Callithrix jacchus: one gene and its partners. The protein of the gene in region 1 interacts with the protein of each later gene in a pairwise test. Links are inferred from orthologs where the notes say so. Each region holds a gene or a part of one and is shown in the gene's direction. Other genes may lie near its edges.

Evidence for each region. The genes of interacting proteins can lie anywhere in the genome.
Region 2: the proteins of ALAS1 (region 1) and DUSP19 interact in a two-hybrid assay, tested with the Homo sapiens proteins (3 studies listed by BioGRID and IntAct). The two-hybrid records come from large-scale screens. The link is inferred for Callithrix jacchus from reciprocal best matches to the Homo sapiens genes ALAS1 and DUSP19.
Region 3: the proteins of ALAS1 (region 1) and ZMAT1 interact in a two-hybrid assay, tested with the Homo sapiens proteins (2 studies listed by BioGRID). The two-hybrid records come from large-scale screens. The link is inferred for Callithrix jacchus from reciprocal best matches to the Homo sapiens genes ALAS1 and ZMAT1.

The regions. Positions count from the first base shown.
Region 1 is NC_133516.1:34,723,327-34,727,539, forward strand, and holds the start of ALAS1 (5-aminolevulinate synthase, non-specific, mitochondrial), read left to right. Parts: upstream 1-1,413; 5' UTR 1,414-1,541; intron 1,542-2,538; exon of another isoform or gene 2,539-2,549; 5' UTR 2,550-2,570; coding exon 2,571-2,769; intron 2,770-4,213.
Region 2 is NC_133507.1:45,954,187-45,957,686, reverse strand, and holds part of DUSP19 (dual specificity protein phosphatase 19), read left to right. Parts: intron 1-2,377; coding exon 2,378-2,530; intron 2,531-3,500.
Region 3 is NC_133524.1:98,363,220-98,366,719, forward strand, and holds part of ZMAT1 (zinc finger matrin-type protein 1), read left to right. Parts: intron 1-2,412; coding exon 2,413-2,519; intron 2,520-3,500.

The DNA.
Region 1 (4,213 bases):
TCAAAACAAACAAATAAAAACAAACAAAAAACAACAAAAAACCCTGTGAGGCAGGCATGTCAGGGATTATGATCCTATTGACCAGATGAGGAAAGCATGGCCCAAAGATGAGCAAAGGACTCAATATTCTGATTGCGCTCCCACTTCCAGCTGCACTTGGGTCCGAGCTGAAGTGCTGACCCTGACCTTTCTCATCCTCTCTGGGTTACGAGCACTGCCCAGGATCCCTCGACAGGATGGCACAGAACTCAAGCTCTCAGACCAGAGCCCTCATCCTGGACTGGTCCTACTGCCACTCTTGAACCCAGGTACCTCCTCTGAAGGTGGAGACTCGCCTCACCTGCCTTGCAACCAGCTGGATGCTCAGAGAGGGAAATGGAAAGTACCTGAACACACCCTAGTCACTGTCATTCTGGACCTTGTCCCTCTTGTTAATGCCCAGCTGGGAAAGGAATAACCTCAATGGCCCTTTCCTCAAGACTGGAGGAGAGTACCTGTGAGCCAGACACAGGCCCAGCCCAACCCAGCCTAAGCCAAGTTGGGAAGGGTGTGGAGCAAGGAAGGCAGACTGGCATTCCTGAGAGGAGTTTGTCAAGCCCTACAATTCATGTGTTGTGCCAGGGAAACTCAAGGGAGGTATGGGCCCAATCATGACCTCTGGAATGGAGGCCTAAGCCACCCTGCTTGCCCAGCGTGGCCAGCAAGGGGCTTCGGACAACCCTGGATGGAAAAATAAAAATAGTGGCTAAATATTTGTTACAAGCTAACTATTGTCAGACCCTGTGCCTCTCCCTCCTCCCCAAGTGCTCAGAGCTGTGGAATAGATGGGTTCCAACCAGCCCTATTCTTCTGCCCCTCTCTGGATCATCTTAGACCAGAAAGTGACACAGTTGAGTGTCCCGCTTCTTCCGCATCCCTCCAGGACCACTTCATCTGTGGGCGATCTTCTCCACCTCCTCCGGGAAGCCCTCGTTCCCAGCTTCCAAAGCAAGTCGCAGGTGGAGTGGATCCTGCTTAATACCCCGGCCCAGAATCCCTTGGATCTCCTTCTTCCTCCATGTCCAAGACACCCATTCTTGACAACCCTGTAGTCCCCCACTTGGTCCTAGCGGCACTTCGCCTCGATCTTGCCATTTTATACCCCACGATCCGGATGTAGGGTTTTGAGCTCCAGGGTAGTTGGTGGGGAGGCAGCACGCGTGTGCAGGACGAGGTTGGGAAAAGAGACCTCGTCCGCCCACCTCCTGGTTGCTCCTCCTTCAGACAAGCGAGCCGGGGAATGCCCGGCGCAAGGATACCCGCAGAGCCCAAGAAGTGGGTCTCTCAGCCGGGTCCCCGCCACCCACACCGCCGAGAGCGACGCGGCGCGCCTGCGCGGAAGAAGGCCGCGGCTACCGCACATGCGCAGCGGTCACACCCGCTGTATATTAAGGCGCCGGCGGTCGCGGCCTGGGGCTGCTCTTGGACAAGGGCAACGAACGGTTCGTTTGGACTTCTCGGCTTGAGTGCCCTCCGCCGCCTCCGCAGAGTCCCCCGCGCAGGTGAGGGCCAGCGTTGTGGGTGCGGCGCCGGCCGGGGAAGCCCTCGCGTGTCTTGCTAGTTGGAGCACCTCTCGCCGGGCACTGGAACCCCATCCCCCACTGTCCCAGTCACCGCCGCCTGTGGCGGGGGCGGGGGTCAGCGTTTATCCTCCAGATCTTTTGCCTAGACCGCCGTTTCAGTTTCCCCCTTTCGGCCCCCTCGGGCTATTCCCGGTTAAACCTGCCGCTTTAGAATTCCCTTCTCTTATCCCTCTCCTCATTGTCGAGACCTCGACCTCGGGTCACCTTTGACCCCCACTGTCCGAGGACTGCCCTCTTTCTCCAAACTCAACTCCCTCGACTTTCTAGCCCCTGCATGTTCCCAGTGAATCCCAAGGCGCTGGCCCTCATACCCCTACCCTCGTTTGTGCCCCTCCTTTCTAAGTTATGTCCAGTTCTTCCCGCTGTGGGGACACGACCGCGGAGGAATCCTTGCCTCAGGGATCCAGAGCCCTGCTGGACTCCTTCCTCGGGTTTAGGGGTGGTTTCGGGGATGTGGGAACAAGGAGAAAGTCAGGATTCTTAAGAGTCTTCCCTGCCTGGATGAATGAGTGGCTTCTTCCCTAGCATCCCTTCTCCACCTGGGTGTAAGCCAAGATGTCTTATCTGCACTATGCATCTCCCTAAGAAACCTCTGGGCTCCCAAACCTGTTCTTGACTTGTCCCTCATCCTTCCACGCTCTTGGTTATTTACTGTCAGTACTTACTTCATTTGGTGAAGTTGCTTTGCAGGTGCCTTTGTGTAGAGCTGGGGAATGAAGAAGTTGATGATCTGGGTAGAGTGTGGTCACCATTCCTTAGCTGACAGCACATCCGTGCTGTCCTTAGGCATTTTTGAGTGAGAAATGTTAGTATTCCAGGGTACCCTTTATATAAACTGCAGGTGACACCTGAATCCAGTGAGTTTGCAGTGATATTTGCCTGATTATTAACAAGTGTTGATGTCACTCATCATCAGTCTTTCCACAGGAGCCAGCATACTTCTTGAACATGGAGACTGTTGTTCGACGCTGCCCATTCTTATCCCGAGTCCCCCAGGCCTTTCTGCAGAAAGCAGGCAAATCTCTGTTGTTCTATGCCCAAAATTGCCCCAAGATGATGGAAGCTGGGGCCAAGCCAGCCCCTCGGGCACTGTCCACCGCAGCAGTACACTACCAACAGATCAAAGAAACCCCTCCGGCCAGTGAGAGTAAGTGTCGTTGGCAATGAAGGAGCAGACAGGGGTGTTTGTGCTCATTGGTAGACTAGACGCAATCCACAGTGGTGGTAAGGGCCACACTCACTCACAGAGGGCTGCTCTGTGCACGGATTATTTCATATGATTGTCGCCCAAGAGTAGGCACTTTTAGTTTCTCCATCTTTAAAAGTGAAACAGTGGCCAGTGTTACACATACAGGTTTTTGGATTGCATGTTAGTTTCAGTTGGGGTTTTAGTATTTCCTCTGTGCCTTGTTCACATAACTATTAAATTGGAATGTTCTATTCTGACCTTTCTTTCATTAAACATTTGGCCTTCGGCTTTTTATTTAGTTAGTTTTTCTTTTTTTGAGACAGAGTCTTACTCTGTTGCCCAGGTTGGAGTGCAGTGATGCAATCTTGGCTTATTGCAACCTCCACCTCCCCTGGGTTCAAGTGATTCTACTGCCTCAGCCTCCCAAGTACCTGGGACTACAGGCATGTACCACCACACCTGGATAATTTTTGTACTTTTGGTAGGGTTTCATTATGTTGGCCAGACTGGTCTTGAACTCCTGATCTCAAATGATCCACCTGCCTTGGCTTCCCAAGGTGCTGGGGTTACAGATGTGAGCCACTGTGCCTGGCCCCTTTGGCTTTTTTAAATAGTGATTTTTTTTTCCTTAAAAGTTTCGTTTTATTGTGGTAAAATACACAAGAAAAAAATGCCATTTTAAGCATTTTAAAATGTACGGTTCAGTGGTATTCACATTGTTGTGCAGTCATCACTGCCATCCATTTCCAGAACTTTTTTCATCTTCCCAAACTAAAAGTATACCCACCAAACAGTAACTTTCCATTCCTCTCTCCCCAGCCTCTGGCAACCACCATTCTGCTTTCTGTCTCTATGAATTTGACTACTCTAGGTACCTTATATAAGTGAAATTGTACAGTATTTATTAGTGGAGTGACTCACTCCTGTAATCCCAGCACTTTGGCAGGCAGAGGCATTTGGATCACTGAGGCCAGGAGTTCAAGACCAGCCTGGCCACATGGCAAAACCCCATCTCTACAAAAAATTAAAAAATTAGCTGGGCATGGTTGTGTACGCCTGTAATCCCATCTACTTGGAGAGATTGAGGCTTGCTTGAACCCAGGAAGCGGTGGTTGGAGTGAGCTGAGATCGTGCCCTATATCTTTATTTGTATATACATTTGTTGTTGTTTTTATAAAGAGACTGGAGTTAAACTTAGTTTGCTCTGGTTCTGCTAGGAGAGAACAAGGCTTTTGAGGTTCCACTTAATCCTAGAGAATATTTTACAGGCTTTTCTTATGTGTATTCTCTGGGTGTGGGAGGATTGTAAGAAGAATTTTTTTTCTTTAAGTAGAAAGGATTTAATCCTTTGTAGGGTTTATTTTCAAGAGTTAGTTGTGTATTTTTTACCAAAATGTTTGCA
Region 2 (3,500 bases), on another chromosome or scaffold:
GATGATAGTGGCTGAGATTAAGATGTAGTGGAGATAGAATTAGATAAATGTGAGGGGCTTTTTAGAGGGCAGAATTCTTACAATTTTGTGATTGATTACTTATTTGGCAGGATAGGGAGTGGGGCTAAGGGAGAAGGAGGAGTCAAGGCTGATGTCTAGCTTTCTTTGATAAGTAAGTAAGGTTATTATTCCACGAGCTTGAGAACAACATAGAAGGAACAGGCTTTGGAGGAAAAACAATGTGCTCAGATTTGAATATTTTAGATTTTGGGTGATGTAGATCATCTAGGTGGGTGGATATGTGGATGTGAAGGTCAATATATAGATTTAGGAATCTTCCACTTTTAAGTAGTTACTGAGATCGTTGGAATAGATGAAGTTGCCTGGGGAAAAGTGTAAAGTAAGAGAGAAAAGGGTCTTTGACAGAATCTTATCACAGAACTGATAAATTGAGGAATATCACCCTATATGAAATGATGAAAGGAAGAAGAGTCTGCAGTGGAAAAGGAAGATCTAAAAGAGGCCAAAAGAAGATAAAACAAAAAGATGGTGTCATGGAAGCCAATGTCAGATGCTGCAAAAGTTTATGTACAATTAGGACTAAATTATGTCCATGGGACTTGCTGACAGAGAGGTGGTTAAAAAGTGCGTTTGTGGCAAGTTTCATTTAAATTGGAGGTCAAAGCCATATTGCAAAAGATTGAGAAGTGAAGAAGTGATATCATGGGGCGTAGGGAGGGAAGAGAGAGGAGCCATAGGTGAGGAGGGGGATGGGAGAACTTTGAGCATGTTTGCTGATGGTAGAGGAAGGAATTGAAGATACAGAAAAGCAAGAATTATGGCTATAGGGAGATGGCAAGAAAGTAGGAAGCACTGTGACTCCAAGCAAAGATTCTGAAATAAGCTATATCGAAGATGCATGAGCACATCCTTCCATGTAATCAGAAGGCAGAGGGAAGGTACAGATGTAGACAGAGTTGTTAGTTTTTTTTGTTTGTTTGTTTGTTTTGAGACAGAGTCTTGCTCTCTTGTTTAGGCTGGAGTGCAATGGCTTGATCTCAGCTCACTGCAACCTTTACCTCCCAAGTTCAAGTGATTCTCAACCTTTGGATTCTCTTAATGGACTTTCTATGTGGCTTCCACATGCTTGGTGGACTTTAGGAAAAGGGGCTCAAATACATAGATGGAAGAGGAGGAGGTTCCTCAACTGTACCACCTGAAAGAAAATATTTTATAACCATCCCTCCCCTTACTTTTCAGCCAGATTAGTTCATCAGAATCTCTGGGTATGAGACCCTGTAGTATTGATAGTTTTTAAAAGTTCATCAGGTCTCTCTACTAAAAATAAAATAATTCGCTGGGCGTGGTGGCTCGTGCCTGTAATCCCAGCTACTCTGGAGGTTGAGGCAGGAGAATCACTTGAACCAGGGAGTTGGAGGCTGCAGTGAGCTGAGATTGCGCCACTGCACCCCAGCCTGGCGACAGAGCAAGACTCATCTCAAAAAAAAAAAAAAAAAGTTCATCAGGTGACTCTAATGTGCAGTCCTCCTGGAGAACCATTTTATTAAGTGTAGAATATGAAGGAAAATAGGAAAATGACTCTTGAAAGGAAAGTTGTGTACCACTGATCTATTTCTCCTATTGAAGTTTTTATATGGATATTCACAGACTAATTCAACAAGATTTTAAGCATTTTCTGCTAAACTCACTGCTCATTTGCTTGTAACACTAAGTTAAACATGTTCCCTACCCCCTTGGAGTTTCTAGTTCAATGAAAGAGACAGTCTCTAAGTGGTATGAGCTATAATAGGGCAAGTCCAGGGCTATGAGAATATATAGGCCAGGTGTGGTTGCCCACACCTATAATCCTAGCACTGTGGGAGCATTATTTGAGGCCAGGAGTTCAATACCAGCCTGGGCCAAAAAAGTGAAACCCCTCCCCTGAAAAAAAAAGTTAGCTGTGTGTGGTGGTACCTGCCTGTAATCCCAGCTACTTGGGAGGCTGAGGCGGGAGGATCACCTGAGCATAGGAGTTCAAGATTGCAGTGACCTATGATTGCATCATTGTACTCCAGCCTGGGTGACAGAAAGAGACCCTGTCTCTACATGATGATAATAATAATAGTTAAGAGAGAGAGAGAGAGAGAGAGAGAGAGAGTGAGAGAGAGAGAGAGAGAGAGAGAGAGAGAGAGAGAGAGAAAACGAGAACATATAGTAGAAGGAGCACTTCTGGTGTGGGATGAAGCAGTATTATCATTTAAGTGAGTTGTATTTAAATTTTTTACCATTCTTGTTACAGATATCAACACCCTAGTCTCTTTTTAGATAACTTAATTCATGGGATTTAAAAAAATCATCTTTTTTCTTTCTCTTTAAGGTGACTCATATTCTTAATGTTGCATATGGAGTTGAAAATGCTTTCCTCAATGACTTTACATATAAGAGCATTTCTATACTGGATCTGCCTGAAACCAACATCCTGTCTTATTTTCCAGAATGTTTTGAATTTATTGAAGAAGCAAAAAGGAAGGTGAGTTTTGTTTTGATCCATAGTTCTTCAGAAGCAAAAATTTGAAAGTAGGGATTCATTACCCAATCTTTATTATTTTTGCAATGAATCTCCAAAAAATCCATTAAGAAATTTCCCTTCTAACAATATTTTATTATTTTCTACAGTTATTTGGTTAATTGCTCTTTTTTTAATGATATATTTACTTTAACGTTAATTCAGTTTCTCATTTTCCTGTGTGTTACTGAGAATTGTTAAGAGATAAAATCCTCTACTTACCGAGTTTTTCTCTGTAGACATGTAGTTAGATTTCCTTTGAGGGTTTATAGCCACCTGACCTCTCACCAATTTGCAGGATAATCAGAGGGACTATAAAACAGAGACTGCTCTAGACTTATGAGTGTTATTTATAATGATTGCTGTGCATTTCATTTTAATGAAATTATGAATGAGTTAGTTATTATGAAACTATGCATTTTTAGCAATAAAATTTTAAGACACTCTAAGGACTAAATGTGTATTGCTTTACTTGGATTGTATGACAATGCTGATCAGAAGCTGTCTGTTGGTTTTCTGAAGTTAGAAGACCAATAGCCAATGTCATATAGTACTTCAATTTTGTTATTGGATTCTAGTCAACATTCTGACAGGCAAGGTTTCTTTGTTGGCTGTTATTAATAATTATTACTTGAAATGGCATCAGTTTTAGTCAGCAAATAATTCTTACAGACTTTATGTAAGATACGTAGATGGGAAAGTAGGAGCATTTACGGAGAGAAATAACTCTTCTGGAACACCTAACAGTGACAGGATTAGAATTGGGTTTAATTGAACTCTGGCCTACCTTCTCTCCCTTCTACTTTCGCTCCTTCCCAGTTTCTCTCCCTTTAATTTACTAGTATTTATTGAATGCCTTATGTACCCAGCACTATTCTATGTGCTTCCTAGTAGACTACCTGGAAAATATATAACTATTCAATTCTAGTGTCCA
Region 3 (3,500 bases), on another chromosome or scaffold:
GAGGGTGGCCTGGAGCCTGAGTCTGTAGATGCAAGCCCAGAGATGTGATGTGCAAGGGCTAGCTTAGAGGTTAGGTTCCTTGGGGCTAACATGGGTCCTGGAGCTGCAGGGCCCAGCCTGGAACTTGGTAACACAGGGATGGTCCTGGCACCTAGGTCCATAGCAGCCAATCCAGCACTGTGGTCTACTGGAACTGGCCTGGGCCCTGGGTCTGCTAGAACACTGAGTTGGAGGAGATCCAGCGAGGACTACAGGAGCCAGCCTAGAGGGTGGGGCTATGGAATCCTGCCTGGTGCTGGCGTGGGCTTGGAGGCTCAGTCTGTGGGTACCAGCCTCTTGGGGCCTATATCAGCCTCCTTGAGGGGCTGAGTCTGCAGGTGCCTGCCTTATGACTAGGGCTGTAGGGGTCTGGCCTGAAGCCAGGAGCCTTGGGAGCTAGTCCAATGCTGAGGGTGGTTGAGGCCTTGGTACTGCTGAGGTTAGCTTGATGTTGAGGTAACCTGAAGACCAACTTCACTGTGCAGGCCTGGAGGTTGGGGTTGAATGATTCAGCTTGTGACTGGGGCAGGCCTGGAGGCTGAGTCCACTGACCTGGAGGCTGTGGGGGCCTTCTTAGCACTGGTTATTATTGGCGTGGGTCCAGTTTTAGAGTTGAATGAATGTTCAGTGCTCACTTCCCTCTATTTCTCTCACACAGAGGGTATCTCTCTCCACTCTATGCCGGGGTTGGTAGAGGGCTGATGCTAATAGTGTGAAACTATCTTTCCTACCTTCTTGAATGTACCTTATGTCTGTGCTACACCCAGATGCTGCTATAATCTCCTGCCTATTTGTTTTGTTTTTTAGTTTTTTTTTGCTCTTGTGAAGTTATTTTCATGTGTGGATAGTTGTTTTAATTGATGTTTCTGTAGAGAAATGAGTGCTGAAAAGTCCTATTCCACCATCTTGATGATGTTCTTCCTAATGGTTTTTTAATTAAGACAGTTGTACATAGAGTTAAACATTAAGTTGTCTCTCCTTGCTTCTTTTCTAGCCCCACTTATCAGAGCTAACCATTTGTAAATATGGTTTATTTTATTCCAGATTTTTCTGTGCATATATTTAATTTTTGTTATTATTGGGAGTTGGATATATTGTATTTGTTCTACAAATTTTTATTCATTTAATATGCTAATTAAACATTCATTTAATATATTAATTGGCATCCCTTTGTGAAAGCATTTGGTACCAACTTATTCACTTTGATAGCCAAGTAACAATGAGAATTTTGATGTTTGTGACTCACACTGTATAGAAAAATGGATAAACTTTGGCAGAATACACTCGCTCTTAAGAATTTTAGATGACAGTATCGACCTCAAGTGTAAATGCAGAAAGTGTTGGCAGGTATTATTTATTAAAGTGATAAACACTTTAGCATACATTTCTAGATCTTAGTATACGAACATTACATTATAGTTTTGAGAGACCTGTATGAGACTTGTTTGGCCACATGAGTGTGCTAGTGTTTGTACAGTTATGAAGGATATTTGCCTACTATGGACAAAGATAGTTTGTGGTTCCTTGTAATTTCTAGACAACATTGAAGGCATTGCTTCATGTTTCTTGGACCTGTAAAATGAGAGTGGTAAAAATCTCTTACTTGATTCTTACGAGAATTGTGTGACAAGTGACGGCCCTAAAGCAAAGCATTTCTTAGGGTTGTCTGCTATAAAACACAAAATATCAAGGCTGTTTTTTGTTTGTTTGGTTGGTTTTCTGGTTTGTTTTTTGGTTGGTTCTTTGTTCATTTGTTTCAAGCAGTGTCTTGCTGTCACCCAGGCTGAAAGGCACAATCATACCTCACTGCAGCCTCAACTGCCTCAACCTCCTGGGCTCAAGTGATCATCCTAGCCTCTGGAGTAGCTAGGACCACAGGCATGTGCCATGATGCCCTGCTAATTTTTATTTCTATTTTTCGTAGAGATGGTGTCTTGCTCTGTTGCCCAGGCTGGTCTCAAACTCCTGGCCTTGAGCGATCCTCTTATCTTAGCCTCCCAAAGTGCTGGTATTACAGGAATCAGCCACTGCACCTGGCCAAGGCTGGATTTAGAAATCCAGCCTTTAATTACCAGTGTCCAAAATCATTCCATGAAGCTCATGAAATTACTGATGCCCCCATAATGATTCCTTAGAATGCCATTGCCTAGACTTATCATACTAAATAAACTCTTGCTATATCTGACATTAGAGGGATGCTTAGTATGTGTATATTAAATTTAAATTGCATACTTGAACAAAAAGCTGTTACTCTAGTCTCACAAGCACTCAAATTTGAAGTGGCATATAAAATCATATATAGTTGAGGAATGAAAATGATATCTCTAAGTATTTATTAACGTGATATATTTGTCTTCCCTTTTTTATTCACAGATCCCATTTGGAATAAACAGAAAAAGGCTGAACTTTTTACAGATAAGTTTTGTCAAGTATGTGGAGTGATGCTACAGTTTGAATCACAAAGAATTTCACATTATGAGGTAGGTTAAAAATAATGGTAATAGGGTCTAAAGCAGATTTTTAAATGTAGCAAGTAAACTTCCTATAAGTCATTTTACTTGATTCTTACAAGAATCCTGTGAAAAAGGTAGTATTATTTTCCTTTGATGGATGAGGAGACTGGCTCAGAAAGAGTTGGTAATATACTACTTGAAGTTTGGGGAATTAAGATTAAACTCAGTCTTTTTACTCCAAAGATTTTTTCTTTTTTTTTCACACCGCTCTGCCTCCCTTTGTATCCATCAAGTCATCCATCCTTATATTAAATATAAGAGAGGCATTATGAAGCTTGCATAGGAGACTAAATGTGAATCAAGGGATATTATCTAGAACTCCCAGAGTCTTTGTTTACAGCAAATGAAGACCATAAAAACAAAACTAACTAGTTGATTGAGCCACATGTTTTTAGACACAGGACCGTAGACTCCTAGAGCTAAAACAGAGAATGTTTAATGTCCTTATTCTCTTAGTTTATAGATTAGAAAACTGAGACCCAGAGGGTTAATAATTCTCCATGGCTAGTCACTGGTATGACTAAGCCTAAAAATGGTTTATTCTGATTTCATATCCAGTGTTCTTTCCCTTCATTTGGTGTTGCTTCATATTTCTACATCATCTGATGAGCTGTTGGATTTCTTTCATATCTGGTATCTAGGTTACCAAAAATACAAGATACATTCAATTAAAACTAATGTAATGCCAGTTCTCCTTTTTTAAACACCTCATCTTGTTCTTCCCATTGCTATTCTTATGGGTAATTATATTTTAGTCCTAATGTTGGCTGAAATTAAATTACTATAATTACAGATAGGGAAATTGTGTTGACTGGATTGAGAGGAGCTAGGTTTAAGTCTTAACTCCACCGCTGACTAGTTATAGAAGCTTTCGCAAGTCACTTTACCTTTCTGAACATATTTCTTGGACCTATAAAATGAGAGTGGTAAAATATCTTACTATACTTG